4 linked regions of the Drosophila melanogaster genome follow. The gene in region 2 interacts genetically with the main gene of each other region. Each region holds a gene or a part of one and is shown on either strand. Other genes may lie near its edges.

Region 1 (8,588 bases), on a different chromosome or scaffold from region 2:
GCAGACCAGGTCGAACAAATGGGTGACCAACACGTCAATTATGCCATCCAAGACTGTGGCATTTAGTGCCAGATTCGTTTTCAACACGGAGCAGAGGAACTGCGTCACGGCATTCCTGTCCACGCTGCGTCGATAGAGCGCCAGGATCTGGGGAACCAATCGGGCGGCCTGATCCTGAATCCGGTCTTTGGGCAGCAGTGGATACATGCTGGACAGGGCCTGCAGTATCTCCACGCAAACCTTTGGCTCCCGGGAGTGCAGCCATTGATTGAAGAGCACATCGTAGGCCACACTGATCTCCGTGGAGCAGTTCTCCTCCTCCTTTTTGCCGCTCTCCTCCAGTAGAGCCTCACTGAATCTACCGATGGCATAGGCATGTGCCTGCTTGATGTGATCCTGGCGTATCCCGACTAGATGCGGCTGACTACGGCTCAATATGGCCTTTATGTGGGGCACAACCCCTGCCGGATTCTCAGTGGCCAGCAGACCGAGGCACTGCATCAGCATAAAGTGAGCCACACCTTCTGTACTTGTTCCCTTCTCCTGGAGCGCCTCCATTACCTGCTCACAACTCTCTGGGCTGCTCCGTCCGATGGCTACCAGGATGCGCTGGGCGGGATTCTGTATGAGTGGCAAATGCTCGGGATTCTTGGTGAGCTCCTGCAGCGCAAGATCAATAAGTTTCTGATTTGCAGCCGGCGGCAGAGGAGTTTCCGCTCCCACCACGCGACGAATGCAGCTGAAATATAGAAAGGTAGGGATTAGAACAGCTTTTAATTGCTGATGTCAAAGGGAAACCTACTCCAACAACATGGCCACTGTTTGATCGGTCATCTTCGGCTGCTGCGATCGATGTTCGCTGAGGATCTCCGCAGCCCGTTCCGGATGGGTCTCCAAGATCTTCACGATCGCCTGCTGCATGGCAATCCGCACCTGCTCCTCCTTGTCCATCAGCCCATCGAAGATGTTGTGGAGAACGCCTGCAAAAGGGCAACAAATGTTTTAAATTTGATTTCTTAAATCAGATCATATGGAATATAATCCAAAATTTAGTTGGCTTGTGTTAAGTCAAAGCTAAGATATCGTTTAAAACAAATGACTAATTTCAGCTAGAGCTAGCAAATAGCAGAACAATGGACTACACTCAGTAACACGAGTAACTAGATCAAAGTCAAGTTAACACTACATAGAGCCGTATTTACATAAGGTGCACAAACTGCAAAGATAGCAGAAGTGGCAAAAACCACATTGATTCACGGATTTAAATGGATGATAGGTTGATTTCGAATTAAATTATATGAGCCATTTTACAACATTGAAAAATGCATACCCCTATTTCATTGAACACAACTGTGGGCACTTTCAGTACTTATATTCTGATAAGAATTCAAATTGTCTGACGCATTCGCATAAATTAAAGAGCTTCACATCATATAAGCATCTATCAATAAAATGAAAAAGGCTAGAAAATGGCAAAAACCAAACGAAATGCTGGAATCAGCTGATTGGGATGGTCAAAAATACACGTCATCCCAGAGATACAAAAGTCCAATTGGACTGGACAAGCGATACTCTAGAGGACTTTTCGCATTGCAATGTTATTTTTGTTCTTATTCCAACAATTAGCTGTAAAACAAAAAAAAACACACACTTACGCATGCAGATGATTAATCAAATCGAATTGAGTGCAATTTGTGGGTGTAATTGTGAAATGTTGTTGTATTGATTTGTCTTGCTCATAAACGTGTTCTAGATGATTTTTTAGGGCTTCACACACTCAACAGGTCCCCATAATACACACGTACATAGATACGAAAATAGAGTTATTTAGCTGCTCTCCTTTCGCTAAAAGGATTCCCCGTTACTTTTGGGCGCTCATGTGTGCGTTGTGCCTAATGCGTAGTTCTATTTTTAGAACAGGACAAAAGACTGCGCTTCGCCTAATCACAAATCCCAATTGGAGTGGGTGGGGTGGACGGGCAAAACGCCCATTTCACGCTAAATCGCTCTCAGCACTTGTGCTTGTGTGTGTGTGCGCTTTCTAATAAAAGATTCCATGGGTCCATCTTTATCTTTATCTTTATCTATGGGATTAGGCAGTGTTCCCTTTGTTTTCATTTTCATTTGCATTTTCGTTTGCTTACCTTCCAGAATCGTTGGCTTATCATTGGGCGCCGCTGTGGCGGTAGATGCATCGGCATTTCCAGTGGCGGCGCTATTTCCAGCAGCTGATTTGTTGTTGGCGGATCCTCCCCCTGTGGCAGCACCACTACCACCGCCGCCAACCCCTCGGCCGTCCATCTTCTTGGTGGAATTGCGCGTTCTCTTCCACTTCTCCAGCTTAACGGGATTTCAGACAGCGATTAACTTTAACGCGCACTTCGCGATCGCGGAAAAACTCGGAAAAACAAGAGATTCACTGCGTTGCGAAATTGTTTGTGTTTAAAACGGGTGGCTGCACTCACATAGGGGAAAAACGGCTGTGGAAATTTTAGTACGTTTTTTATCAACACCATGGACTAGTTGGGCTTCCGAACATGGTGTGTGCCCTCACTGTTCAGTGGTGGCGCAAACCATAGATGACCATAAAAATGAAATTCAAATGTACTGTGTATAAAATAATAGTTATGCATACAGTCTCGTTTTATTATACGGAATTAGCAATTAAGTAAATTTTAAATTTTAAGCTACACAGGCAGTACAGCATACTAATACAATATTAAAGGAAAAAACGCTTTTGAGGTAGTTTTGAAAGTATTTGAGAGCAATTGAAATGCTTAATTTTAATCACTTGATAGCACTTCTGAAATTAAATAGCATAGACATTTGATTTTCTCGCAATTTCTGCCCTCGCAGATAAGCTGACGTTCTTCTCACGCTATTATATTCCCAGCGATAAGAACTATTTCCCTTCGATGTGATAAGTCGGAGGTAAATTTAAAATAAACACTTTTTAAAATCATAAGAACTCTGCGTTGTTATTTTAATTCGATATCAGTATTTCGACCACAAACCAAGGCTGAACCACAAAATATGGCCCAATGATAGTCTCTTATCACGCCTTTCCTTCGCTAAAAAGAACACATGTCATTTGGAATCCTTGTTTTCTTTGCGCTAGCAACAACACACAGTTTTTAATTAACACTTTTTGCGATAATAGCAGATTTGATAAGCATGTTAAGTATCAGTTTTAAAGTAGATTCTCTGATTTTCATCTCTAATATCCAAAATGTATCTATATGAATACAATTTTCCATAAGTGCGTTTTAAATACATGTATGTTAAATTTTAAATAAAATAATAAAAAAAAAAACACAACTTATTTATTTTCTCATGAAAATCTAATCATATCCAGCTCCTAAATATTTTCGAAATTTCCCGGCTGAACAAGAGCGCCGCTCTTAAGTCGTCACGCTCTCAGCTGATTAAAGAGAGCGCGCTTAAATGCGATTCCAATTGGAAGTGGTTGCAGCCGGTGGTGGATGAAAATGTGTCCACCAATGGCGCGCCTCAAATGCCATGTCCACCTGACCAATCAGAATCCGGGGGCGGTGCCAAGTGCAAGGGAAACGCAGGAGCGAGCGAGAGGGAGAGCAACTGTTTATTTGATTAAGCATTTAAATTCTATTATTTTTAGCGAAATTTATTAAAAATTTGATGCAACAGCACTGCGTGGAATGGTGACTTGTCACAATGCACATACTAGGCCATGCATTTACAGAAGAGCAAGAGAGAGAGAGAGAGAGAGAGAGCGAGCAACTTAAGAGACCCAAAACGCCCCGGCCAAAGAGAGTCGTTCTCGTTCCAATTGGCTCGCGAGGCAAGTGGAAAAACGATTGGATTCGACTCAGAGCCGAGCTCAATCGTCTCGCGAAATTCAAGCGGCGCAGTCAAAAGTTAAAAGTCAGTTTCAGTTATGTTTTGGAGTACGACGCGCGAGCATTATTGTTTCCATTGTTAGCGAAGTTTTTAATCGACTGAAAGAAACACAAGAAAATAACACCTCGCTTACGTGTTAACCCTTTTTTTTTGTAACTTGTGCTTAAGTCACTTAAAGAAATACCGAAGAAAGTAAACTAAGTGTGTGTGTAAGTGTTAAACAAAGTAGTAAACAAAAAGCGCGCCAAAATCGGCTAACTTTTAGTTATTAACTCGAATTTCGTCACCAACTAAATTTAAACAAAAGAGCGACACAGTTTCGCCAGAAACTTGCATTCAAACATATTGTTAAACAGTTTTACATTAAACTAAACACAAACCAAAGTGCTATTAAGTGCAGTTAGTAACAAAATAAAAGTGATAAATGGTGACACAAACGAATTAAGGCAATGTTTTTATGACAAAAACTTAAGTTCATATTTTTTAAGGCTTTATTTTGCGACTGTGAAATAATTTGTTTACTTTGTTGCTTGTTCTCAAACAAATAATATACAATAGTAATTGTAAAAGCTTCTTATACATTGTTTGAATAAACAAATAACTGACTCTTTTACAACCATTTATGATTACTTGGGAGATCAGTTGTGAACATTAAATGTTTATATTGTACTATATTGTTTTTACACCGATTCCCAGAAATATCATCAAAGTTAAACTCGAGAAAAGGAGGCCCGTCTGCGAATCGGGAGTCAAACATAGAGTATTACTAATTAGCCGAGTGAAGTGCAAACAATAAAAATATCCAAATCAAACGAAATCAAATTTAATTAAGTTCAGAAATCATCTGGCAAAAGCATGCTCAAAAAAGAGAAAGAAAAAACAACAATAGCAACAAATGCACCGCTAATTCCTGTGACTAATTTATCAAAGTGCGAACTAGCAAAATGTCGATCGTCGTAGTACTCGCAGTTATTTAATATGTATTCAGAAAGGCAAACATATTTTTAATCATTTTTTAAATTTATATATATTGTTTTTTGCAATTATTTCTTTATTTAAACGTACGCCAGTGAACTGTTTCTATATGTACTTTAATTAAATTGCTTAATATGAAACAAATTTGAGATGTTGTCATGGATTGTTTTTAATGAATCGATCGGCATTTTAAGTTTTCAATTAAACACGAATCTTTCTCATATCGTAAGTGCAATTGCAAACAATTGTTAAGTACGCTTTTTTTTTTCTGTGAATTCGTTTAGAGATTAGAGTTTATTGATGAGTGAACAAAAGACACCGCCGGAGCGAAGTGTGATAAGCGCTTGACCTGCGACCCGCACACACTGCAAGAAAAAAAGGGGCAAGCGAGCGGATCAAAGGTCACCGCCGTCGACGAATGCATTTGCATCTCCTGGCGGCAGAGAAGACGCCTCCATCTCCATCTCCAAATCCAACTCCAACTCCATCAGCATCTCCATCTGGGCATACGGGCGCTGCTGGGGAGTCGCAATTGGACTTGGCATCGCAAACGGAATCGCAATTGCAGCTGGGCTTGCCATTGGCTTCCGGATACGGACTCGGACTCGGATTGGGACTGGGCTTGGGATTGGGACTGGGCCAGGAATTGGTGGCGGACCACAGCACCACTGTGGCGCCCGTCAGCGTTGCCGGTCCCGGCCGCCTGGGTCGCAGCATCAACGGCAGCGGCGGCAGCCACCACCATCACCACCTGCACCACCACTACTCACCGTACCACCACGCCCACCCCTACCACCCACCGCATCCGCACGCGCCCCACCACCACCACCACCACCACCCACCGTATCCGTATCCGCCGGCAGGACCACATCCGCCGGCCATGGTCACATCGTCATCCACATCGCCGACGGGCAACGGCTGGAGCAGCTCCACCGGCGACTTCAAGGGCATCACAGCGGTGGCGACGGCCACTGGCGGCGGCGTAGGTGGTGCCACCCAGGGCGCCACTGCATCCACGGGCGCCACAGCCGCTGAGGTTTTGGCCGTTTCGAGTAGTGCCAGTGTTGGCAGCAGCTCGCCCACAGGTGGCGCCAGCAATGGTACAGCCCATAGTGGGCATAGTGGACACACCGGCGGTCACAGCAGTAGTACCGCCAGCAACAACAACAACAACGGTGCCAGCAATAGCAATAGCAACAATAACAACGCCGTTCACCAGGATCTATTGTGGATGGAGCGATTGGTACAGAAGCGACAACAGGAACATCCCGGCGAATTGGGTGAGTTGTTGGTGGGATATTACCAATAACCTAGTAGTAACACAGTCTGCAAAAGGGTTAAGGATTAATAGCTACCTTAATGTCCTTCAAAATCAAAGTGAATATGAAGATATAGTCTAACTGGATTTGTAATTTCCCGTGAACAAAATTGATTGAACAGAGGGATTTAGCTTACTAACTGTAAATAGCAAATTCTTTGCTACCAGATTCCCAATATGATCTATGGTTCTTGATATAATATATCTTATGAATATAAGATTGATAGATAGATATATATATCAAGGCAAGCCTCTGCGGAGACAGCTCTTCCATTCACAAGGTATCAGCATCTTTAGCTCGTGTCGAGGGGATCTGGTGGATGCTTTGCAGGTCTGTTCGATAATCCGATCCCCGAAAGGTGGAGCGCACATTCTTGCCACATCCTTGCACAATGCACTTCTGGGGCTTCCACATCGTGGCAATCACGATCATCGGACGCAGCCTTATCGGATTCCATGGGTATGATGATCGTGATGATGATACCGATGGCGATGATGATGGTGATGCCAGTGAAGATGGGACTGGCATCGCCGTCGGAATATGCGTAAATTGATATCAATAATTGTTATTGATATCAACGCACGAGTCGTTCCCCTTTTTTATTTTGTTAATGCCACCTTTTTTTTTTTTTTCTTATTCCTTGCTGCCCGTTGAACTTTCCTCCCGATTTATCAATGATATCAATGACCCAGAGCGAAAGCTGCTAATGAAATCTCAGCTCATCGCACCGTCAGTCTTGAAATTAGCTGGGGAATCCGCAAACTGGTTATCCTATATGATTTTTTTTTTCACTTCTGAGTCCTTTCATAACTTGTGCTCAATGGATAGCCTTCATATCGAATTGCAACTATCAGGACTTTACACTCTTGTCTTAAAGTAATATTTATATTCCATTCCATTTGAGTTAGTATCGTACCTATGGGATTCAATCAGGATCTGGATGTGCCTAGTCTATTACAATTTATTATTACACAGTTTGGTTTTCAGGGCAGCGCACATTTGATTCCTGACACCTATGTAAAACATGATTTCCAAACCTACAGCGGTGTGACAAATTAAATTTAATGATTATCAGCAATTAGATGTCCATATTTCGGTCTATTTTGCGCGCCAGTCGCGAGTAAATAAATCATTTATTCAGCCAGCCCAGCTCTCCACACTTTGCTCTACTTTCGACACCAGGTCAACAGTCAAACGTCATCTGATAACCGATAACCCCTTCCGGTCCGGTCCGTTCGTTCCGTTCCGTTTGACATCTCCCCGCTCATTAATTAATTATGCACCGCCGGATGGCGAGTCGATGGTCGAAGGACCCAGTATCCAGCATCCTGCATCCAGTGTTCAGTATCCACGATGATTGATATTTATGGACCGACACGAAACTATAAATAATTGAATATTTTTGATGGCCGTGAAAATGTGATTTTAATCAGCGAACCCTTGGCTAATTAAAACCAAACTGATTTATCCTGATTTTTTTTTTTTTTTACCCACTTTCTTCATTTTCCAGTGCGCACGAGCAATCCGTACTTCCTGTGCTCCGCCCTGCCCGCCCATTGGCGCTCCAACAAGACGCTGCCGATGGCCTTCAAGGTCGTCGCTCTGGCGGAAGTGGGCGATGGCACCTATGTCACCATCCGGGCGGGAAACGATGAGAATTGCTGCGCGGAGCTGCGCAACTTCACCACCCAGATGAAGAACGACGTGGCCAAGTTCAATGATCTGCGTTTCGTGGGACGCAGCGGAAGAGGTGAGTTGCAGTGCTGTCCGAACGGTCACTTGGGAATTATAAGCTAAAATGGAGAGAAGAAGTGCAAACGGTAGGCGGTGTGAAAAAGAAAGGAGTTGGTAAACTAACTATCTTCTGTGAATCAGGATCAGATCAGGATAATATATAGTAATTTCTAATAACTGATGAAAATGATCTATATATAACTTATATACTTTATAGCACTTTATATCACCTTTGTGTTTTGGTTGACTATATAACATTTCTGAAAATTAAAGACTTCCTCGAGCACTGCAATCAGCACTTCCTTTGCCAAATGCCGATTATTGCGAGCCCAAAGAATGCTTCCCACAACTTCAAACGAGCGGAAGCTGTAGGTTTATCCTTTCAAACTTTCTTCAAATTACACTGAATGAAAATGATGCGTAATACGTTCAATTATGTATGCATAATTAACTTAATATGGCTTTAATTTCTAAAGACTTTTTTTTATTGAGAGTTACTTCTGTAACGCACACTTCATCATCAAGTATATGATGATAAAACTCTAACAAAATTTGTAACTTGAAGTATGAATTCATAACTTGCTATGTAACTTGCATGTAATATTTGGTTGGCAAATGCATTTTCTTTTTGTGCACCCGAAAATAGGTAATGAATGCATCGGAAGTGCATTGATTGAGTGA
Region 2 (8,257 bases):
TTTTAGCGCTTTGAGTGGTCGTGGCAAAAATGTTTTTTGCAGATCGATAGAAATTTACAAGATTATTAGTCTTGTATGAAAAAGTATGTATGAGAAAATATAAAAACATTTTTCAAAAGTGTGGACGTGGCAGTTTTGTGCAGTTTGTGGGCGTTAGATGAAATTATGAAAAACTATCCACAAATTGTTCAAAAATGTGGGCGTGCCAGTTTTGTGCGCTTTGTGGGCGTTAGAGTGGTCGTGTCAACATCTGTCAACAAACTTGCGCTGCGTCTATGTCGCTTGAATCTGTATGCTGATCTCAAGCTTTTACGTTTACGTACAGTACATGAGATTTCGAGTTCATTCGGAAAGACGGACGGTCGAACAGACGGTCGGACAGACGGTCGGACGGACACACGGATACACGGACATACGGACAAGGCCAGATCGATTCGGCTATTGATCCTGATCACACTTTATATGGTTGGAAACGCTTCCTTCTGGTTGTTACATACTTTCCAAATGTGAAATTCGAGTAAGTATTCTATTATTTTGCTGATTTTAGTTATGCAAATCGATATAAGGAAAAGCCCAGCAGATAATATTTCTTTATCCTTTACTTGTTAACAAAAAAAGGGTAAACCGTACTCTCTGAAGAATATTTAACAGAAAGAACAAAGAGGATGTATACGTAACTTCACCGGAATACCTACAATTATTGGCTACATTTACTTTTTACTTCCTTCGAAACGATTGCATCAAACTAGAAATAGAATACGAATATTTTGTTGTTGGTTGTTTTCATCATATACATACATGTACATAGACATAACAAATAAATAATTTACGTTTTGATACAAGCAAAAGCCTCGTAGGAGTTACTAGAATCTGGACGGATAACTTCAATTTTTTGATATCTATAGTTTTATAGGTTTTGACTTTTATAAAGATGGACCGACGGACAAGGGGACTGACTGGCATGTATCGGTCGTCTACGTTAGTGGCACGGGTTAAAAAACTTTATCCAAGACATTGTTTTAATTGGAAGAGTATATAAACCTTAGTTTGCCGATATCATGTTATTCTGGTTTTATGTGCTATCGACTTGTTAAAGCCCCTTCTGTCTGTATGTATTAACTTTCGGCTCCCGAAAATCTCCGGAAATAACTATATGTATTATTCCGGGAAAGAGTATACCAACAAAGTAAGTAGTATAAATAAATAGTACATAACATAATATATACAGCAGTAGCATTTCCAGTACCTAGCAGCCAAAAACAACCAAAAGAAACGGCGGAAAAGCTGTCTCGGTTGGCTTGCAGACCGTGAAAAGCCACGAGCCACGATTGAAATACCGAATTTCATACCAAAACATATGAATACCGATTGTTTATATCAAAAGCTACCAGGCGAATTCTACAAAAATATTTATATACTTACATATACACACATACACACATATGAACACAAATAGTTACCCACCGTTTAGCATGCGGAATAACCAAAGAAAAGCCTTCTAAATGAAAAGCTACTAAAAAAAATTTTCGAATATTTTTTTAGAGCTTATATTGGTCAGAATTCTTCATATAAATACATACATATATAATAACATAATAATAATATTTAAGATCATTGAACTTTTGCTAGTGACTTAACACCAGTTTTGGTACTAATGCACGAATTAACCACGTAAGGAGTATATATAAGCAGAAAGGAAAATTAACAGAGGCGCGATCGAAGGGTAGGTTTTTTCCGGTTCGGTCTAACAGGTGTTTCACAAATAAAGCGCGGGCAACCGTCCAAGACATTTCCTTCGATCGCAAAAGAATTCAAGGGATGACGGTAAATGAACACCTGAATATTCTGTTGTGTACACTACATAATTCTGTAACATATTATTATACCCGTTACTCGTAGAATAAAAGATAGATTCGTTGATAAGTATGTAACAGTTAGAAGAAAGCGTTTTCGACCATGTAAAGTATATATATCTTGATCAGGATCAATAGCCGAGTCGATCTGACCCTGTCCGCTTGTTGCTTCCAGAGACAAAGACGCACGGCAACGTCACTCTTTGATTTTTCAATATATTTAACAATATTTTGACATAAATGATAAAAGTTAAATCTTATTCTGATGTCTTTTCAGTCCCCTTTAAAGAGGACAAGTGGCTAGTAATATTGACTAAGTATGTTTATAAACTAATAGATTTCATAAATGAAAAAAAACTTTGTATTTGTATTTGTTTTTTTTATACGATAGTAACACCAGTCAGCTCTAAATTTTGAAACGGTTGAGTAATCTCTCTTCTCCCTTTCGTGTAGTTTGCAACGGTAGTCGAAGATTGCTTGGCACGCGCCGTCTTCTCTTTAATAGTTTGAGTACCAGCAGCCTGCTTTAGATCGTCGTTCAGGGATGCCAATTTAACTTTTTCTTGGTTTCACTACTCTGACGAAAATGTGGATTATTTTTGTATGCATGGAAGCATAGAAACAATATATGTATGTGTATATCATAAGGTAGTGCCGACTGTACTCCTAGTACACCTATGTATATTAAACGATTTATTTACAAACGTATATTACACATTTTCAAATATGTATGTATAAATATTTGTTCGCTTGTCAACCTGTAGAATGCAGGTCACTCAATGTAACAATACGCGATCCAGACGGTTAAAAGGGGGTTGATTACTTATGTATATAAACTGACTTAGCTTCCGTTCAACAAAATGTAGTTACTTCAAATTTAATACATAGTCTTGCGTTCACTTTTCGAGAGCCTGTTGTTAAATGCCAAAAGATAACACCTTTATATGTATCTAATAATAGGAATATTAAACCGGAACCAATAAATATAGGCCTTTAGTGGAAAACAATTAGACAAATATGGGTCAGCTGGACCTTAGGAAACTTTAAGCAGTCAGGACTGTAGGGTTATGAGATTGAGGTTTGACAGATATAAAAAAGAACGATCATAATCAGGGATATACCAAACGCTTCGAAGCGCTTTCTTCTTCCTTACAACGAATTTAGAATACCCATTTCCTATACGAGTAACGGGTATAAGCACTCCAACACTCTGATCATTAAGACCAAACAGGGGAAAACAAGAATACCATCTCATCCCTTCTCATTCAGTGACTTTAACTAATTTGTTCTCTTTCCTTTTCTCTATCACTCGTTCTGTTTGAAGCGGCGATCGTATTTCAAACCCAGCTTTTGCATCCGAACAACACGCTATGTCTCCCGATTAGTCGACCGCCAGTTGAGTGCGAATGTAGCCGACCAACCGTAAAGCCGCCTTGGGCCAAGTTTTGAGAGCGACTCAAACATATAAGCCATCATAAACACACTCAAAAAAGTGGTCGGCTGAGTTTGAGCGATGTAAACTGCTTCCGTCGTCCATTGCCATTCAACAATTTAGTTTCGCTCGAGATCTCTTGGCGTACGCTTCAAGATCCACCTGGAAATCGTGTTGCTTCGTGGATTTTTAGCCAACAGGTGGTTCGCGCTGTCTTTTTTACCTTTCAAGGCTTAGATTCCTTGACTCAGTGATGTTGTTAGTGTATAAATTCGTATTTGAACGTTTTCACTACCTTAACTGAGTGACGCTAAATAACTAATAATTTATTGAAATTCTTTAAAACAATTATATGTTAACCAATCTTTATAAAACGAAAATATTCAGTGAGTAAACTAATGCATAGTTTTAAATATATTAAGGTAAAAATAATTCCTTAATCATCCAAGTTATATAACATTAAACACTTAAGGCGCTTGAGCTCGGCTTTAAATATACTCCGAATTTGAACAGCTTATATTTACCCACGCTCCTGACCTTGGAATACTTGTTTTCTTTGTTTTCCTCGACTGTCTTAACTAAAAATTCTGGCTCCCCATAGCTATTATTCGGCTGGAGTGTGTGAAAATACAATTATTTTTCCCACTTTTAATTTTGTTGAATTGAATGAAGTATGGGTTTTATTCTGCCTGAATACCAGTTGGTAATGAAAATAACAAATTGTAGAAGCTCCAATGACCTCGTAACAGGACCGCTGTGCCCGACCGTGACTTTTAACTATATACTTCCAAATTCATTTAAAATTAATTTATAAAAAAAATTTAAAATTAATTAATTTTTTATTTATTATTATTATTATCAACAAGAAAATGTGTATATCGAATTCGAGCCCTTTATTCGAATTCGAACACAACAACAAAACTACAAAACTTGTACTACTAAACTTGTACTAACTAACTACTACCTGTTACTAATAGAGTAAAAGGGTACACCAGATTCGTTGAAAAGTTGAAAGGTAGATGGAAGTGTTTCCGACCATATAAAGTATATATATTCTTGATCAGAATCAATAGCCGAATCGATCTGACCTTGTCCGTATGTCCGTGTGTCCGTCTGACAGTCTGTCCGTCCGTATGAACGTCGAGATCTCAGGAACTACAAAAGCTAGAAGGTTGAGATTAAGCATACAGATTCTAGAGACATACACGCAGCACAAGGTATTGCCACGCCAACTGTTACGCCCAAAACTGCCACGCCATTGAAATATATTTTGAAATTTGTTCATATTTGTTTCCTAAATTTCTATCGATTTGCCATGCCCACTCTTACGCGTACAAACCGTTTAGAACTGCCACGCCCACATATTTGCAAAATGATATTTTTTCATATTTTCTTTAGTTTTTGTAAATTTATATCTACATTTTCTTTTTGCAACGCCCGCTGTTACGCCTACAAGCCGCCCAAGACTGCTACGACCACATTTTTGACCAAATTTTAAATTTTTTCTCATTTTTATCATTAAAAAAATAAGAAATGCGTTAGCTGAGTAACGGGTATCTGATAGTCGCGGAAGTCGACTGTAGGATTCTCTCTTGTTTTTTAAATTAATTTTCCTCGTGAATTATAAAAGCGGTGCAAGCTTGTTTCATACCTGTGCCACGCAGGCACTATATGTATTTTGATTTTTTATTGATTTTATTTTTTTGTCATTCTAATTTTTATCGACGAACCCCAAAATGTTCTCATAAAAAAATGGCTCCAATGTTATTAAACATTGCTGCTACTAGCTGATTAATAGGTATCTGATAGTCGGGGAACTCGACTTTAGCGCTCTTTCATTTTAGGCTATTTAGGAAACAATAAATGTAGAAAGAAAGCAGATGGCCTAAACGAACACATTTATTCCCATACCCATACACGTAGCTGACTCGATCATTTAGCTATATTGACCCTTAGGGGAGTGTCAGTCCCAAAAAGGTCAATTAACAACAGGTGAATAAGTGCTAGCAACCACGTTTGCGCGGGTTAAGGCTTCATTCGGCGGGAAGAAAGTGCACCTTGCCCTGGATAACAAGAGCGGATAGTGAAATAGTGAAATATATGTGTGCCATTGAAAGGTACGAATCACAAGAAAGATTGCTATAGTCAAGTTGGCCGACTATTAGATACCCGTTACGCAGCTAGTGGAAATGCCAAAGAGAAAATTTCATAAATTTTGGCTAAGCGATAAATATTGTGGAATAAAATTACTAAAAATTAAAAAAATGCTTATAAGTCTAAGCTCTTTGTTATAATAAAATTAATAAAATTATGAAAAAATATCCAAAAATTCTTCAAAAATGTAATCGAGGCAATTTTGTTTGTGGGCGTGGCAACAGGGGGGTATGTCTCTAGAATCTGTATGCTGAATCTCAACCTTCTAGCTTTTATAGTTCCTGAGATCTCGACGTTCATAGGGACAGACTGGCAAGGCCAGATCGGCTCGGCTATTGATCCTGATCAAGAATATATACACTATATATAGTCGGAGACGCTTCCTTCTGTCTGTTACACACTTTTCACAAAATCTTGTATACCCTTTCACTCTACGAGTAACGGGTATAAAAATATCATAATTTGGTCTGTTACTCGTAGAGTAAAATTAGTTGAAAAGTATGTAACAGGCAGAACGGATCGTTTCCTACCGTATGAAATACATACATTCTTGATCAGGATCAACAATCTGGCCATGGTCTGAACGCAGTGATCTAGGTAACTCTAATAGAAAGAAACGATTAAGATTAACAAGCAAATTTTAGAGCCACCTTCGCTGTATGATTTTTTTCCCAGCACTCACACTAGCTGAGTAACGAGTTTTTGATAGTCGAGGAAATCAACTTTAAAATTTCTAGTTATTCATAAATATGCCAAATCGGGATATACCATTTATATAAAAATACATTAATTTAGTTCATAGTTTCGCGTTTTCCATCATAAAATGCTCTTATTTGAATGTATCACTTTAAAACTTTCTTTATATATAGCTCGGTTGATTTAGTTCATTTATTAAAGCCATTACGTGTTGATTCGTTGAAAAGCAGAAGTGTTTTCGATCTTATAAAATATATATTCATAACTGTCTAGACGAGTCGATCTACAGATTCTAGTTGTAGTCATACGGCAAGATTATTTTAGATAATGAAGGCGTCCGCCACCCAACGCCTATAAACTTTCAGAAGCGTTATGACACATTAAAAAAAGAAAATTATTTTTTGTCATTTTACTAGTTGTGTTACCAAACATTTTGACTACGCCCACTCTATCACCCACAAACCGCGACGATAAGTGAAATATCTGATAGTCGAGCCATTCGACTATAGCATTTCCTGCTTGCCTTTAAAACAGTTTGAATGTCATTGCCGAATAAAATACATAACATTTGTTGTTAATTACACTTTAAGCAGAAGAATTTGATGAACTAACCAACAATTGTTTTGTGCAGACATATCCATTCCTTGCATAACTGCATAGGTCAACTGCTTTGGCTACGCTAATATCTCGTTGCTTTCATAATAAAAGAACCCACAATTTTCTGTATTCCAGGAACTTATACATTTTGTTGAATCTTTGATGCTTATAATGGATATACAGACATCGACACATCATATCCATGGGCTCGGAACACATGAGCTCCAACATCGTATTTTACATCCACACATTCTACATTCAACTCAAGAAGAAACCCTTAATACAAGTACAGGCCAGCTAGAGCACGATTCCCAACATCTGCAACAACATCACCTCACTCATCATCAGCAACAGGACGTTTCACCGACTTTGCACAATTTACAAAACACCCGCACTGGTGATAGCCTGAGCACTACTATTAATACAAATCAAAATCAACATGGTCATCAACATCTTTCCGGAAGTAACATGTATACCTCGTCTCAAATGGAAGATAAGTCAAAAGGTAACCAAAATACCATTGAAGAAGTCAAACTAATATCTTAATTTAATGCCTGATATCGGAGCTGCCCAGATCAGATCACTATATAATATAGGTGCTATATATAAGCTCTACTGTAAGATAAGATCTACTGTATTGTACAGCTGTACGTGAAACAATCGGAAAATATCAGTCGAATTAATGGAAATGAAATACTAGCTTCGTTTTTTGGATCATAAAACGTTCTAGTTCAGTATACAACAGTTTTTTGACAACATGGTATGTTATCCGTTTAAAATAAACAAAATATATATGAAAATATAAAACAGTAAATCATAGCTCATATCGGCTTTTCAACGCTAGCTCTCTTTCATGTTCAGATTTTTGTTTTAAAGCTGACGCATAAACCTTGAGTTTTGTACTGTAAACTTTTTAACTTTGAATTCTTAAGAACGAACGTTAAATAATTGATTTTATGACGAGAAATGCTTAGATTGATATATTCCTGTTTACTGTAACGATTAGACTAAAACAAAAGATTAAATTTTCATGCCATTAACATTTGTAGGGGATAAATGATGATCGGAGAAAGAAAAAGATGGTAATTCCAGTTGCAACCTTCCAAAACTAAAGAACAATAGCAATTGCAGAAAGAAGAGAAGGGAACATTTTAAACAAGTTCACAAGTGCAATGCACTTGGGCCGCGATTGAAAACCTTTTATATCCCCTTCCAAGATTTTGCTAGTGAATTCATATTCAAGTTGTATGAAAGCCTAAGGGACAAAAAATTAAAAGGTGTTTACTTCAAGTCACGGATTTTCGGTAAGGGGAAATTTACCATGTTCCCATTGGAATGCTCCACGATTTTCATCCCCGAGTTCTTAAACAACAAATAATATACACACATATGTTTTCCTTTTGTACACTAAAAAAAATTATAGAAATTTGTTCCTTTCCGTTATTTATGTTAAGATACAATTTAGTCATTCAGTTTGTTTTATAAAAATGTTGTATTTTTTCTAATTTTATTCCCCGATACCCAA
Region 3 (8,609 bases), on a different chromosome or scaffold from region 2:
TAATATTTTGGCAAACAAAACATAATCAATTGAAAAGATCGACATTATCGCTATCGTGTAACAATATTTATCGGCATCAACTCTAGTTGCTCGAACGCGATAAAAACCTGTTGGAAATATGTGTGTGTGGCCTTTTCGGCTAATTGGCTGTAACTAGCACTTACCAAATGCAGAACGGTGTTGACCACCTCCCGGTTGGTCACCTGGCCAACCTCGATGAGGCCAATGAGGACGGCGAACTTGAGATTGTCGGCGGTTGTCATTCTGACGATTTCGTCCGGCCGTTTGATCTCACTGTACGGCGGACGCATGATGTCCGCCATTTTGGTGCACGGTTTGTGGTTCAGATTGTTGTGTTTGTTGCACGATGTGTGTGAATTGTAAATTATTTGTTCATTTGTTTTACGCGTTGCACATGCGATTTGGTTTGATTGTTTGTTTGGGTTTTGGTTTGTTTTTTTTTAATTTGTTTTTTTTTTTTTTTTTTTATATAGATTAAGTTATAGAATTAATGGATGGAATGCACACGAAAATACACACACAGATACACAAATATATAATACATTTACATATATATAATAAATATATATGAAGATGGTAATGCTATATATATATATATATATTTATATAAACAATTAGATATTGCCAGGCAATTGGAGGGGAGGAAAAAATTATTATTTTTTTTCTTTTGGCTGGATTTCTTTTTGCTATTTTGATTTTCTCTTTTCATTCATATGTGCATCATTTGTGTTGCTGCACTCTTCCGATTTTCATTCGCTGTTGCAGTTGCAGTTGCAGTCGCTGTTGTTGTTGTTGCTGTTGCTGTTGTTGTTGTGGGGCAGCTGAATTGCCGTCGTGGTCGCTGCTACTTTTTTGGCTCATATTGAGCAACTTCGGCCGTCGACACTTGACAAATTTTGCATTATTTTTTATATAATAATACTCGGTTATTTATTTGGAATTGCACACTTTTTTGTTTTTTTTTGGTCATACATTATTTTGATTGAGGTTTTGGTGATTTTTGGTGTGGTTGGTGGTTGTGGTGGTGGTGGTGGTGGTGGTGACATACATAAAAAAAAGAGAGAGAAAGAGAAACAGGTACATGAGTACGAAATGCAATAACGCTGGCAATTTTGCGAGCACAGTGCGTTTCATACGCTTAGGTCGTCATAGTCGATGCAATGCTTTCTATTTACATTATCACTACGATTAATTTAAATTTTCAGGCACACGAAACGCACTGTACTTTTGGTTTTGACTTATCAACATTAAAATGAGTAGGTACGTAAAAAACTAAATTAAATTCCCATTTTACATATACATATGTAGCCCAGCTACAAAGCAATATTCGAAATATTCGTTTGATCTGCCATGGGTGATGTTTTTGGTTTCTCGGTTAGCAGGTTTTGCAGGCTAGTGGTTTTCCCGGGGCGTGGAAAGCGAGCGCCCATTTTCCGGGGTGAGGAAGGGGAAAAAGGGGGGGGGGCGTTTGGCTACACGTGCTTGATGGAGCAAATTTTCGTTCCATTATTCATTCGCTTCTTGGCTGCTCACAGAGTAAAGTGGAAAATTGTCTGGGGAATTTATGTGCATTTATAATTTTCGTTTTATTTGTTACTGTTTTTTTTTCGTTTTTTTTTTTTTTTTTTTTTTTTTTTTGACTTGCATTAACTACCGGCACGATCCAGAATCAGATTTATGTAATACCACGTCGCAGAGTGCTATATAGTTAGTGCTATTATATATTGGAAAAATCTTGCTCGATCATCGATTTCATTAGCTCGGCTATAAAAGATATATGCGCATATGTATGTACTACATATAGGGAACCTATAGTTTTCGCGGCTCGTCACGCACTGGCGATAAGACTGGGGTTATTAACCCGCCGGGTTACTCAAAGTGCTGGAAAAGCCTGGGAAAAGCGGCGAGGTAGCCAAGTTCTAAACTGCTCGGCAAACACCATTGAGCGGGGATAGTTAAAAAAAAAAAAAAAAAAGTAAAGAAAATAGCATACGTACATACATATATAAGCTGACACACCTGAAGAACAAGGTGTGCTTCTGATTCAGCTGGCGATGGATGGGCCCATAAAAGCAACACAGCTGTGTGTTAAAAGAAAACTCTTTGAGCGGCGGAAAGGGAGGGGGGGGGGGGGCGAGCGGTATTATCGGAAAAGTGCCCAACAAGGCGGGTACATTCAATTAGGCACCATTCTGTTTGCAATCCATTTCGAGATAGGTGAAAATCGGTGGACTGACTTTTGGGAATAACCCTCTAAATGCATATGTATGCATTTTAAAATACCGGAAATGGCTGCCAATATTACGTAATACTTATGGTAAGGAGGTGGGGGGTTGGAAAATTGGTAGCAAGTTGGGAGTTTTAAGGGGGGCTTACAACAAATGCAGTTGCACATTCTTTCACTACGGGAATAAGCTCTTTTTTACAATATGCATTTAATGCATTTAAGCAGTACTTAAGTGAAGAAATAATTCGTAACGAAACGAAACGAAACAACGTAAACAGGCAAAGAAGAAAAACCGGCGTGGCAAAAAAACGGGCAAAGCAACGTTGACTGGTTTTCTTGATATTAACTTTTGTTTTCTTTCAAAATCTAGCCGCTGGTTTGTAGTTCGTTCTTTTTTCTTTACTTTATTACTTTGCTGCTGTTTAGCTAGAGCAGGTGATTTTATTTTGTATTTCTTAATTTTTGTTTTTTTTTTTTTAATTTAATATGAAGTTCTGACTGCGGATTTGTTAATGCGGCCACTTTGCTAATTGCACGTCAACAGAAAAAAAATTCCAATAGCGAGAGCGAGTCTCCATGCGTTTTATTTGCTTTGCTTTTTGGCTTTGAGCTGCTACCACTTTTTGTAGTTGTTTTTTTTTTTTTTTATGGCGAGAGCCAGCGTGTGAGAGAGAGAGAGATATGGAGAGGGAGAGAGAAAAAGTTGGTAATTTCGTTACGAAATAAAGATGCAATGCCAGTTGGAAATGAAAGTCACGCGTTCAATCGATCAAAAAGATCCATGGAACCGCCAACTGAACTTCCTGCCACTGCGTTGGTAAACGAATGTGTCTTAAATTGTTTTAAGTGTATATTCATCCGGACATTACTCGGATTGTTTCAATAGGATTTTCAACAATCTTAAGTTTTTACGTTTAAATTACATTAGATATGTTTTAAGCCATATCCTTCATCGATTTGATGCATAAAATGTGTATAATTATTTTACCAAATAGCATTTTAAACTTTTAATTGCAGTAATCAAATAAAATGTATTTGAAGAAAACGCGAAATATGTTTAAAATCATTCTTTTAAAACCATTCGAAAACGTAGGGTCTTTCAATTTCGGCCTAAACTACAACTAAATTCCCGTCGTTTTGCCCACGTTCTCTCTTTGTTGTTTTTGTTGTGTATTGTCGTTGTTTTTTTTACCCAACTTTTTGTTGGTGGCCGAAAGAGAGACAAAATTTGGTTTTGGTGGTGGTTTTTTTACGTGGATGGGGGCGGAGAGGTGGTGGCGGACGGGTAGCGGTAACCCGTTTTTGGGTTTTTGTATTTGTATTTGGCTTTGTTTTTATTGCAATTGCAGCAGGCGGCCGTCTAATTATGAATTGCAGTCACGCCGAGACAAGTTTTTCCTTTTCCTTTGTTTTCCTGGCTTTCCATGCTCGCTCTCGCTCTCGCTCTCTCTCTCTCTGTTCCTCTCGCTCTCCCACTCAACGCAACGCTATTCTCACCTTTTCAGTGGGAAAAATCAATGAAACGCGAAGGAAATTCTCTCTCGCTACGTTGCGGCTTTTTCTGCTTCTTGCCACTGCTGCGTATTTTTTTTTTTTATCTTATTATTTTGCACCGCTTTGTTGGATTTTGTCATATTCCAATAAGCAAACACACAGCGACACCGAAATGCTAATTGGACCAACTAACTAAACAGTGGAGCCGAACGAAATTGAACCCGAAACCCAGGAGGCGTAAATGTTGAGAACTTAGGGACCGAAAATAAAGGCATATTCAAAAAATCACACAAAAACACACAACAACAACAAAAAAAAATGATCTTAACGTAACGTAATTGGGAGAGCGTAAAACTTGATATTTACGTTGTTTTCTTCGAGTGTTTACTGTTGTTGTTTATGTTTGGCCGTTGTTGCTGTTGCTTCTGTTACCATTATTGTTGTTGTCTTCGCACATACACAGTAAAAAAAAGTGGCAAAAAAACAAATGAGTAAAATAAGACGCGGCGGGAGGCAATAACGAATTGATTCATAAATTCAAAAGCGCAACGTTCACGTAACAACAATATACAACCATTTCTCTCTTTTTTTTAATTTTATTTTATTTGAATTTAATTTAATTTTGGTCGCCGTGTTGTCCGCAAAAATGATTTAATTGAATTATTTCACGTATTTCACCTCCGCATTTTATGGATTCTTATTTTCGTATAATTCACGATTCTGGTCAGCGTTGTGTGCCTTTTGATTCGGTTTTCTCGCTTCAGTCCTCTGTTTTTCGGCTTCTCGCCTTATCCGCTCCTCTTACTGTTCTTTCCGCGCGCGCTGCGAAAAACAGAGTGAATTGGAATTGAATTGAACGAATGAGCTCCGATAGCGATAGCTGCGATATGGATTAATCGATATGCCGCCATTTACAAAAATCTATTGTGCTTTCGCGAAGTGTTCACGTGCAAATAAAAGTAGTACAATTATCTATTTCCTACTGTTCGCAAGAAACGTATTTTTTGATGGAATAGAGCTAATACTTTTTATTGAGCATTTCCACATACGATAACTTTGAATGTCAATCGGTCGGAAACGGTTAAAGTTTAAGCTACAATTTATATATAGGAATATGTACTTATAAAATCGAGATTATTGATAAATGTGTTAAAAAATTGTTTGTCTTGGCATGTCTAAAATGTGAAAATTACAAGAGAAACTGGCTTTTTTTTTAAATCGAGAATAACCGAAACCGATAACGATTTTTATTTCGGAGCGACAAATTTGCTCTCTCAGTTAAGAACAGCTGATAGAAGGGAAATTTTGGTTTCCTATTGCCGGGCGCGTGTATTACAGTTTTTCGAAATTTTACAACTGTTCGAAAAGTGATGTGAATGTGAAAAAATAAGCTAGTGAACAAGAGAATACTGTTTTGAATGGTTCTTTGTCGATTCTAAATGAATGTAAAATGATATTATTTCATCGCATGACAGAACCAAGCATTGTAAAATTCATATAACATCAGCTACAATGCGAATTACTTTTACATTTTTGCCAACGTCAATTGTCAAGTTATTTAATTGTTCGAATAGACTGATTCAGGTTAATTGAAAAACGGCTATAAAACGGCGGCATTTCGTGTTTCTGTGTATAAAAAACCGGTAAAAATTCAAAAACCCAGTTTCAGTGTGCCCAGACATCAAGTAAGTATTTTAGTATTTTCAGTTTTAGTTTTAGGTTTTAAATATTTGGCAATTGCACCTCCTTTCGATGTATCGATGTACCTACAAAGTATCGATAGTGACTGTTGCCAGTATCGCTTTAGTTATTCCATCTCTAAGCATCAGGCTTTGGTCACATTACCAACCTTTCATAAAAAATAAAAAACAAAACAAAAAGGCGATAAAACGCAATTAAAGCAACTGTAAAAAACATAACAAACTAAAACCACTGATAAACTAAACCAACTGCATTGCACACACCCCGCAAACAAACGAAAATGTGATGTTAAGTGTGAGTAAAAACCGATGGAAAAGCGAAAGGAGTGTGCGTGTCGAGCATGTGCGAGTGTGTGTGTGTGCGTGCGCGTGAAGTGCGAATAATGTGTGATGGAGAGAGGGCAAGAGAGCGGCGCCAGCTAAAAAATATAAACAATTAAATAAATATGTAAATTTATATATATGGATGTATGGCATGGAAGTAGTTATCCACTAGTTACGAAAAGAGAAAAACAAAAGAACTAGTTCTCTTTTCTTTGAGTGTGCGTGTGTGGTTGTGTGGGGGAGAGGATTCCAGCTGCCTTTGTGTGTGAATTTCATTTAGTTTTTTTTTATCTGCTATTATTTTGTTGTGCGGATATTTTTTAACCCTTGTTAGCCCTTTATTTTGCTGATGTTTGCGTTAGTGTGTGTGTGTGTGCTTTCAACCCCCAAAAACTTCACCACCCGTCGCCGCCCGGCGAAAAATCACTGAGCAATAAAACCACCCACTACCCACCAAATGAAAAGACCAAAAAAAAAACGAAGCGAATTATTTCCCACTGAAAATTTTTTTCTTCCAAGGTGATGATGTTTTCTTCCTCTTGCTCCTCATCTTTCCAGGAGCAGCACTCGAAAAAAGGGAGAAGCAAGATGGAGAAGGAGAGTGAGTGAGTGAGAGAGAGCACAATTCAGAAACTGTCGAAATAAAACGGCTTCTCCACCTCTCACGCCTTTTGTCGCCCCCCGCTGCGGGCCCCATCGCACAGTGGGACGCGCAGACTAGGTGTTCTAACAAATTTCGAATTTTCACGCTCCAGTGAACTCATAGGCACTAAATTAATGTTTTAAATGTAATATTAATGAGTTTGTTGTTTTATTATCACCTATTTCGCTCCACTGTGCAACGTATGACGCGCTAGCGTCCCCTCTTTCGCTCTCGCGCAATTCGACCATTTTCCATCCTTCTCGCTCACGCCGACTGCCTTTTGGCGTATTTCTTTTGTGCCTATGTATTTCCGCTTGTTAGGTCAGCTCTCCCCCTGCTCCCCCGCCCAACAACGTCCTCTTTTTGTGCTCCCTTTTTGGGCTCCAAGTTCTGGCAGTCCTTTTAGGAACAGTTGTGGCCGAGAGAATAGGGAATTCGTTAAGACGGCCTTCTTTTGAAAGTAGATGCTCGCTTGTAGTATGATCTTAAAATGCGTGTACTAAGCCCCTATTAAATTAATAATAATAATTAAATGTTGTTTTTCATTTCTTATTTAAAAATAATCTGTTTAAGGAAAAATTAATAGATGTTGAGTAAGATGTACCTGATAATACTATTTCATTGACCCCTGCTGTATATTTTGGTTTTGTGTTGTGAGTGAGAACGAAGTTGTGTGGGTGTTTAAAAAGGGTAAGAAAGGCAAAAAAAAAGGCGAAACGGAGTAGGACAAGAACCAAAAAGAAAAACGAAATAAAAGTAACGTTGTTTTGTGTGCGGGCCAACCGAAAACCAATTAACTTTTTGAATATTGCACGAAATTGCGCGCCATCGCCCGTTCGTTTACCAACACTGACCGCCGAATGCAACCCTGCGCAACACTAACTCACACACACGAGCGTAGTAAGACCCAGGGAGGCAAAAATTCACACACAAGCAAATATTTTTTTGTTATTATTGAACAGTGTGGAAGAACAGCGCGAAAGGGAAAAACGAGCTTGCGGATGTGAAAAGTAAAGCGGGTGTGTGGAAAACGGCAACAACAAAAGGCGAACGGGGGAAAGCCAAAGAAAAACTACTCGCGGGGGAGCAAAAATCGGCTGGGAAACACGGACGAAGAAGAAGAAGAATAGGAATCAGAGTAGGAGAGCAAGCAGCAGCAGAAGAAGAAGAAGCAGCGCAGCCGCTAATTGTCTCGTCGTTCGTTGTTGTTGCTGCCTTGCAAAAAAAAAAACGAAACCGAAAAAGAAATGGCAAAAAAATAACGCAAACAAATTCAATAAAACGAACTAAACAATTAGCAAGTTAATAAACGCAACATAAAACCAAAGGAACGAACAGCAGTGGCAAAAGAAAAAGGCAAAAGAAGAACAATCGAAAAGGTCAAAAAGTGTGAGCAAGGGAGAGGAGAGACTTCCCCAAAAAAAACCGAAAGAAAAATGGAGCAAAAGTGAAAAACCTGTGAATGTGTGTGTGTGTGAGAGATGGTGAGAGAGAGAGTGGGGGGAAAAGCTAAAATTAATTTTTTGTTTTTATTTCCAAGGCGCGCACTGGTGTGTGTGTGTGAGTGTGGGTGGAAAATCGGATTTCGTAAAACGCATTTAATTGTTAACAGCAGCAAAAACGTGTATAATTTACCTGATTTTTCTACATCTCACTTACAGTTAGTAATCAAATTGCACAAAATGCGAAAGAGGAGAGCAGATCAATAATAATAATAATAACAAAAAGGAAAGGAGCAAATGTAACGACTTCTGTGTGTGTGTGTGCGTGCGTGAAGCAAACAACAAAAAACAGCGCAGAAACATTTTTAACTAAAATGTGGAAAGCAAGCAAGGAAACAACAAAAGCTAAAACAACAACGACAGCCAGGAGCAGCGCAGCCAGCAGCGACGTCGACGCCAGCGTCGCCGCATGGAAAGCACAGAAAACCGCATGACAAGGAAATGGAAAATTTTTGTGCAGCCCAAAAAACCAAATGTGAACATAAAGGAAAGGCCGACAGCGAGGCGTTGAGCAAACGAAAAACAAAACAAAATACAACAAAAATACAAGAACGTGTGTGTGTGTGCGTGTGTGTGTGTTTTCCAATCGTATAATCGAAGAATAATAGTAATAATAATACGAGTCAAGGAAGAAGCGGCATTCGAAAGAGAACAGAATAAACGGAGGAAGAAACAGATGTAATAACTAAAGCAGAAGA
Region 4 (8,399 bases), on a different chromosome or scaffold from region 2:
CGTACAAAACAAACTTGTTGTTACTGCAATTTCTCGGTTTAACTGCACTCGGCAAATTGCAAGAGAGAAACTAAAGACAGGCGAGCGAGAGAGAAAAAGCGGGAGCAGAAACACGAGTTAAATGCTTTTGCTCTTGCTCTTGCTGTTGCTCTTGCTTTTTGCTTTATTGGTAAATATTTTATAATCCAAGTTTAATTTATCCCTTGCATTGCCCCACCTCTAGCCCCTTCTTGATTTCCCGCTATTATTTACCATATATTTTTTTTAATGAGCGGCGGCAAAAAGCTTACGCCCACACCGGCTCCATAGCGTAGTAGTAGTAGTAGTTGTAGTTGTAGTAGTCATTGTAGTAGAAAATGCACACGTAGTTGCATGCGCAGTTGTAGTTGTAGCGTAAGACGTAGTAAAAATCAAGATGATTGACGTGACGTAAGCTTGCGAGGGTTGCTCAATGGATAACGATTTGCGCGCCAAAAAGAGAGAAAGAGAGCCAGACATTGAACTCGCCGGCACAAATAAAACAAGTAGGTAGGAGTACTATAAAAATATAGATATGAAAAACACGTATTCTAGCTGGACTTTTTTTTAATGTAGTTTCCCTCTTAAATTATTGAGAAGTACAATATTTTACTTTTTTTTCTGCATTATTAATGGCATAATAAATCTTTTTTTGATGGGCAAGATTTATTCTTGTTTCTAGTCACGGGCAAATATCCCGTATTTTCGGCGCATACACGAGTTGTTAGAGAAAATGCCGCCAAGGAGGTAGGAAAATTTTGGGGCTGTCTGCCACGTGGCCAGTGACCAGACATCCTTGAAATTCGCACAACAACAGCCCGGAAAGGAAAAGCCAAGTAAATTGGGGTGTTGGCCCAAAAGAGAGAAATTGTAGTACATATATATATGTAAATATATATATTATATATGTAGTATATATATATATATGGGTTCTTTTTATTCTGGGCGTAGTTCTGCGCAAGAACATCATCATCATCCCCCGGGTGATAAGTTTTTCGGAAGAGAGAGGATGACGCCATGGAGCAAATAAACACAATGAGCCATGAAAGCCACGCGCCGCGCCAACATTTTCCCCATTGTGGGTGGCAAGTGGGAAAAATCATAAAGGAAAGTCCAGAGCAAGAGCTCAGAGCATTGAGCATACAAGCACATCGCAGCGAAAAGCACAAAAATCAATGGGGGAAATGGAAAACCACCGCAGACAGACGCCGGCGTCGCGTGGGCGGGTTTTTTCTTCTCTTTTTTATTGTTTTTTTTTTTTTGTGCAACGTAACAAGTTTACTACGTTTGCTGTTGACGTAGGCGTTTTCCGCCAATCGATTTTCCGGTTGCCTATGGTATACAGCGTACTTGTGCGTTTGGGCGTTACTCTGCACCCACACGAAACGGAAGTGCGAACACTAGTTGAATGTGCAACACCCAAAGGATGGATGAATGTGCGGGCGGGCGGGGGGTCATGTGGCCGGTTGTAAACTAATCGGCCGCCCCACGACGTTGTAATTAGTATGCCACTTTTGGTAGGCGTTTTAGACTGACTCAGGCGTAAACTAAATTTTAATGCATCCCCAGGGATCTAACTAATCTCTACTGTTTTGCCATGCATCCAACGACCAGACCATTTTGTATTTCTTGTAAGACATTCGGACTTTAAGCTTCCAATATTGATGAAAATGGGGCATATGAAAAGTATATAAATTTGACTCACCGGAATCTGAGGGGGTCTCCAAATTGGGACCATCGTCCACCATATCGTTGCAGCGCGTGTAGCTGTGATCGGTGATGTGCATCATGTGCAGCATGCCGTTGCTGTTGTTCTTCAATTTGTTGTTTTTGTTGTTGCTGTTGTTGTTGTTGGTGGTGATGCTGGCATTGCTGCCGCTTTTGCTAGTGCGATGATGGCGCAGGTCAAAGTTGAGGGGTTCACCGTCATCGGAGTCACTATCAGAGCCGGTCGTCGGCGGAGAATCCACTGTGTTGCGTCCAGTGGCTATATCGATGGCCTGTTGTTGCTCGTCCAGTTGCTGTTGGTTCAACTGCTGTTGGCCACCCGTCGAATTGGAATGCTGGTTGAGCACATCGAGGACATCGTTGATCGGCGGGATGTAACGCACCGGCAACGGATCCTTGCCGGTATTCTGAAGCTCCCTGCTGATTTGCTTAATGTAGTTGACATCGCTATCATTGCCGGTCAGCGAGATATTATTGCTGCCCATCACGCAGGCACGCAAGTCGACGTTATGTCTAAACTCTGAGGCGGCCACCTCGTCGGTAAGACTGTGAGGTGTGTCTGGTCTCTGGTATTTTATGCTATCGCTGCCGCTCAATTCGCCCGATTTGCGGATAATGTCCTGGTTGTTCCGCTTGCGGAGCAAACTTCCGCCGGGCGGTATTAAATGGACCTCGTCCTGGATCTGTGACTTCTTGTCACCGCCGCTCAAACGGAGGCGCTTCTGACAGACCGTGTAGTCCAGATCTGCGAGCTCCTTCTTGATGATCACCGGCATGTTCTCGGCACTGTTGACGACATGCTGTTGATTTGACTGGGTGTTATCTGTCGTCTGCGATCGTTGATACGCGCTGTAGAGATTCGTAGAGCCGGAAACCATCGCCAGGGATACGGCACCGGTTTCGCTGTACGACGAGGCTGCACTGTTTCCGCTCTCTATTCCATTACCGTTACCGCTGGTCAAACAGCTGGACATCGCCGGCCACATGCAGTCGATGTTGCGGATCTCTGGCTTCATATCCTCCTCTAAGTCATAGTCTTGAAATACACTTTCCATGTCCTCGATCTTCTCGAGATCACTCTGAATGGTGGACGACGAAAGGAGTTTGTCCATATCGTACAGATCATTATCCATATCGAATATTGAAATATTTGAAAAAAGTTGGTCGTCCATTATGGAATACGGATCAGAGCGGTAAAGGGCCATTGCGATTATGTTGTCTGGGTTTTTTTTTCTTTCTATATATCTTAAGTTCCTGAGTTATATGCCTGTCTGAAAAATATAGATAAGGCGGAAATCGTTGTAGGTATGATTCTATATTTGAACTTAATTAAATAAATATGTCGGCAACACACTTTTTGAAAACTTCTTCAACATAAGGATTTTTGCAACATTTCAACTATAATGTAAGAGTAACTAAACTCCTAATATTATTATTGTATTAAGTCACGTTCTACTGTGCCAGATTTCACCTATAATGACGTCAGGCGATGTCGAGGGTTCAGCAAATGTTATCAAAAGCAAATTTAGCTTATAGCTTCATTTATACACTATTAACCATTTGAACCCGAAATCGTCAATCTTGGCGCTCTTGACAATAGCAAAAAAAAAAAAAAAATACATATACTAATGAAATAAACAAGGGCATAAAAGGAAAACCAAATATCAAATACCCAATTCCAGTTACTGAAAAATAAACGGTCCTTTTACCGATAAACGCAGACCTGCAAAGCTTACTGTGCTTTTCCCTTTTCGTAGAATCCGTTGCATTCCGGTAAACAAGTACGAGCAAAAACTAACAGTACATGTCTTTCGCAGAATCGAACGCAACCCGGTATATATTGAATTTCAGAATCATAGTAAAATTGGAATATCAACATTTATTAAATTATTATTTAAATCTTTTTAAATTTATTAAGCTAATTTATTTCTTTTTTAATTTATCAAGCTAATTTATTTCTTTTTTAATTTATCAAGCTAATTTATTTCTTTTTTTAATTAATTGATTTATTTCTCCTTTAAAAAGTTTAATACTTTCGTAAAAATTTTGGGACCATTTTATTTAATTACTTTGGAGCCCCAGAGTTCTGGAATTTTCGAACATTACCAACTCGTTTCAACGCCATCAAAGCGTTTTTAATACTTGCCAGCATTAAGAAGAATTTCACAAAACAATAAAGAACTTTGTAGAATTTTGTTTTGCAAAATTCGTCCACTTCCACTTTTCTATTGTCTCACTTTTTGTTCTTAATTTCTTGTAAGCACTTGATTCTTAACATTCCTTCTGAGTTCCTAGAATCCGTTATTTCGTATCGATTTGTGCGGCCATGATCACTGATTTGTCATTGTGTGTGAGAGCACCGTTAAAAGTTAAGCTATTTCACCTTTCCCAGAAATTCTATTTTGAATTCCCCGTAGTGGCGCGATTTTTGAAGTCGTTGCGTTCCGATAAATAATATATATTATATATATATATCTTTGCACTCACCTCGCTGAACATAGTTTCCGTATCCGTCTCTATTTAATTGATTGTAATCCAATTTAGTTAGCTTCCTTTGCTTTCCAGTCGCTTTCGGCTATATCTATTTCTATCCCGTTCCCGTGCCGCCAGCAAGTTGGGCACTTTTTTTTTTGCGTCAAAGAAGGGGAAAGACGGAGAAAAAACACCAAAAAAAGGGACACAAAAAAAAATTCTTCCCGTTTATTTTGCACTAGCTGATTTTTTTTAAAAAATCTTTTTTTAATTCTAGTTTTTCACAAGTTTTTGTTTCTGCTTTGGAGAAGATTTTTTTTTATGTATTTGCGCGGTTTTAAGTCGGCTCTTAGGTTATTTCTGGGATTTAGCACTTTTGTAACTTGGCTGTGACAGTTGTTAGTAGTAGTTGTATATTTTAAAACGTGTTGCTTCAGGTTTTACTACAGAACTATTTATATAGCGTTTGGTTTTTTTTTTTTGTATCGGGCGGAAAACAGGCAAAAATCCAATCCACAAAGCGATTCTCTGAATTACCCGCGGTGAACTGAACACGCGACGCCACAGAAATAGTGCCCGTTTCATGTTGTCTGTGGCTTAAATAAAATTTCTATCGTACCAGACTGCCGCGCTCTCTGCGCTCTCACTGCGCATGCTCACTGCTGCTCTCTTTGCTGGAATTCGCTTTAAGTGGTGAGAATAGGAGCTTCAACAAAAATCTTCTTTGACATTTGGATCACATTTAGATCACATTTGGATTCATCACGATTTGTTAATACTCGAAGGTTTTCAAATAGTACGCAATGCATTTAAAATGATCAATGTTTCTTTGCCTCTCCCGCACACTGGTTCACATAACAGCATCAGTTTGCCGGTATTTTTTTTTTGAGTGAAAGAGAGTGAGATTTTTGAGTGGTGTTTACAATAATTGAGCGCAAACAAAATTGAGACAAATCGCAAATTGCTCCGTAAATAAAAACATAAACAATTAACTTGAACTGGCTCAAAATGTTTTTGTGAAATAAATGCAATACGAAAATGTGTAGTTGACTGGAAATCAAAACAAAATTTTATTCATTTCCTTAATTTACTTACGGTATGTATATTAAAATATAGAAATTAAATTTATAAATATACGCATTTATTTATGTTAATGTTAATCGACATAAAACTACAGGTTTCAATTGCTTTTCTGTGGCATTATTTGGGATTCTTCATTGCCGCATAAATGTTTCCTATTTTTAAATCGATTTATTTTAAGCTCTATTCCTTTTTGCGTAGAAGTTGCGAGAAGTTGTTCATTCCCTCTTGCTTTGGCGCCTTACATTTCTTTCGTATTTCCTTCTTGCCCTTTCCTTTATCTATGCATGCATTTACCGTACTTTTTTTTATGTGCGTGTGTGCCTTTGTCACCTCTTTGTCTGCCACGCAACTTCATTTTCCGTTTTGTCAAGTTGATTGAACTTGTGAACTTTGTAAACAATGCAGAATTCATTTAACAATAATAGAAAAGTTAGGCCGCATGGTAGAAACAAAAGAAGAGCCAAACATTTTGTTAACGAATTAAACGATGCCAAGGAAATGTAAAAAGAAAGGGAAAAGAATAGAAACCAGCCAAAAATATTACAACTTTGGAAAGAAGAAGTTGTGGAAGAAGTAGAAAAGGGTAATAAGGTAAAGGCGGATAGGAAGCAAGGGGACCTTGAATGAAAAATAGAATATAACATGCACAAGCATACGTCTCTACATACATACATACATATGTATGTATGCACATTCCAACAAACTTCTTAATAACTGTTTGTAAAATACAATGTACATAGTATGTGTACTACATACAAATAATGATTTGTGCATGTGTACATATGTTTATCGCACAAATATGTACATATGTACACATATATCAACCTTTAAAAATCGACTTGAAAGGACCTGCATTTTGAATTTTGCCCCTTTTAGAGAGTATTAAATCATCAGGTGGTTCCGACGCAAAGTTCCTCCCGCTTTCTACACCCCGTCGATTTTGTTACGTTTCGCTTTGATTTTCATTTCCACAACTTTTAGTGCACAACATAGCGCTTTTGGCGCGTGCATCTGCCCTCTCTTTCACACGCTTTGTTTTGATTTCGCAACGAGGCGAACCAGCAAAAAAAAAATGCACGCTGCACACTCGCCCAACTACTCTGCAATTTGCACATTTAATTAATTGTTTGTACAAGCGACATATTAAAAAAAAAAAAAAATTGTTTAATTCTTCTGTCAATGGAAATCACAAACAGCCCAATAAAATTCACCTTCCAACATTCCGCTTTAGTATCCATAAGCATACAAACAGCCATTCGTTGGCAAAAAGCGATATGCTCCACTTTTACAGGGTACAACTGCGTCACAGACAAAAAGAAATGGTCCCGCAATTTGCGAGCTTTTGTCCGTCCAAGTTCTCGATTTCAATAAGTAATATTTCTTGTGTTTCGATGTTTGCGCAATTTATGTTTGCGTGTGCTGCTTGTTTTTGTAATAGTATTAAACTATTTTCTGCACTTTTTTTTTGTTTCGCGGGTAAATGGAAAGTGTGCATGGCGAGATAAAACAACTGCGTAAATAACGGCAGCAAGTGGCTGCCGAGTTTCCATATCTAGTTTGTCAAGAATTTGCAAGCTTTCAAAAAATTGGCCGTAAAAATGCAATGCATTGGCAGTAAATCGAATAAACCGGCAGTTATGGGAAACATCGAAAATATAGAAAGAATGGAGCAACTCAGGAAAGTGAAATGTAAGTACATAAATATACATATGTACATACATACATATTAGCATTAGCAGGTTACGTTGTATGCACAACCTTATTGAGTGTATTGATAGTACTAGTACTAGAATGAGGTTCATCCCATTCGCAGGCGCATTTGACTCGGCATTTAACGGTCTACACGTGCAGCAACAATGTAACTTTGACGCCAGCGTCGACAGGTGTACCCGGCGTAATTGTTTTGCGATAATGCCGGGGCCTTGCAGTTGCAGTTATGCTCACCGTAGGCCAGAAACGATCGCCTTCCATTGATAAGGCGAATAATCGTAAATTGCATTGCGCACTAGTCTTTCTTTTGCAACAATGTCGCTATCTTCGACTTCTTATTTTTTTTCACGTTACCCATGTATTGGTATTTTACTACAAAAACGTAAAAATACGTTCAAATCTAAGGCGACGAAAAATCACACCCTCTCTTTAAGTGTTATTTCGAATTGTAGGTACTTTTATTATAATACGCAATAAGGAAAGTTTTACAGGTATTTTGATTGTATGGATGGATTCATGTCATTACATAAATACTAAAAATATTCATTCAAATATTCATAGAAACTCAACGTTTGCAAGGTGTACCGTACATGCGTGTATATGTATATGTGTATATATGTACGTACAATTGTATGTTATTTGTCATTCCCTTTTTGGCGCCATCCATCTATTTAGACGCCAATCGTATTAGAAGATAACGCATAAGCAAACCTTCAATTATAATTTATTTGAGGAGGTCAAGAACTCGAGTATTTTAGCACAAATAGCTAGCACAGTCGAAGTATAGAATATGTATGTGTAAGTATTTATTCCATTTTTAAATGCTAATGTTAAATGTTAAATAAGTACATAGGTTCATAAAGTATGTATCATTTAGTTAATATGTGTCAGGTTTTGTAGTCCATTTGCTCTCAACTTAAATGAAAATTATTCTGTACAAATATGGTCGACATGCCATTCGTCGACTCTTCCGCTTTAATTTACACATTTTTTTCTTACAAATTATTTCGTTGTCTTCTTCGTCTTTATCTTCGCTCTCGATTTTTTTTGCCGTTTTGCATGTGCACTTCCAAATATACGCCTAGAATGTAAGTGTGAAGACAGACATAAGATGTTGGAAGGTGAATAGAAAGGGCGAAAACGGCAGCTGCAAAAACAACAAAAAGCTTCGTCACGAAAGAAAAAGGACGAAGAAAGAAGACGCCGGTACAGTTGCGCTCACACACACACACACACACACTCACATGCTCACACAACAAATTCGCCAAGAGCGTAAATGGCAAAACAAAAGTGCAGCGTGGCGATTTTATAACGGCACACTAGATTGAAAAAAATCAAAACAATGCAAAAGCAAAAGCCTCATATACAGTGTATCACAGAACGAAATG

Evidence for each region.
Region 1: of sv (region 2) and lz, changing one enhances a phenotype caused by changing the other (phenotypic enhancement), as found in Drosophila melanogaster (2 studies listed by BioGRID).
Region 3: of sv (region 2) and rg, changing one enhances a phenotype caused by changing the other (phenotypic enhancement), as found in Drosophila melanogaster (one study listed by BioGRID).
Region 4: of sv (region 2) and Myc, changing one suppresses a phenotype caused by changing the other (phenotypic suppression), as found in Drosophila melanogaster (one study listed by BioGRID).

What each region holds. Positions count from the first base shown.
Region 1 is NC_004354.4:9,280,649-9,289,236, forward strand, and holds the start of lz (lozenge), read left to right. Parts: upstream 1-4,000; 5' UTR 4,001-4,088; intron 4,089-5,138; 5' UTR 5,139-5,272; coding exon 5,273-6,134; intron 6,135-7,683; coding exon 7,684-7,923; intron 7,924-8,588. Other genes in the region: c11.1, read right to left, coding at 1-739, 803-980, 2,145-2,301. UniProt on the Drosophila melanogaster protein: Involved in prepatterning photoreceptor precursors in the developing eye; in the larval eye disk it defines a subset of cells as an equipotential group that is competent to respond to the sevenless developmental signal and another subset that confer proper photoreceptor identity by positively regulating the homeo box gene Bar.
Region 2 is NC_004353.4:1,085,392-1,093,648, forward strand, and holds the start of sv (shaven), read left to right. Parts: upstream 1-3,406; 5' UTR 3,407-3,671; intron 3,672-6,867; 5' UTR 6,868-6,894; coding exon 6,895-7,237; intron 7,238-8,257.
Region 3 is NC_004354.4:5,081,701-5,090,309, reverse strand, and holds the start of rg (rugose), read right to left. Parts: upstream 4,552-8,609; 5' UTR 4,109-4,551; intron 969-4,108; 5' UTR 324-968; coding exon 165-323; intron 1-164.
Region 4 is NC_004354.4:3,369,558-3,377,956, reverse strand, and holds the start of Myc (Myc), read right to left. Parts: upstream 4,799-8,399; 5' UTR 4,234-4,798; intron 3,018-4,233; exon of another isoform or gene 3,014-3,017; 5' UTR 2,952-3,013; coding exon 1,724-2,951; intron 1-1,723. UniProt on the Drosophila melanogaster protein: Participates in the regulation of gene transcription. Binds DNA in a non-specific manner, yet also specifically recognizes the core sequence CAC[GA]TG. Seems to activate the transcription of growth-related genes; required for cellular proliferation and growth.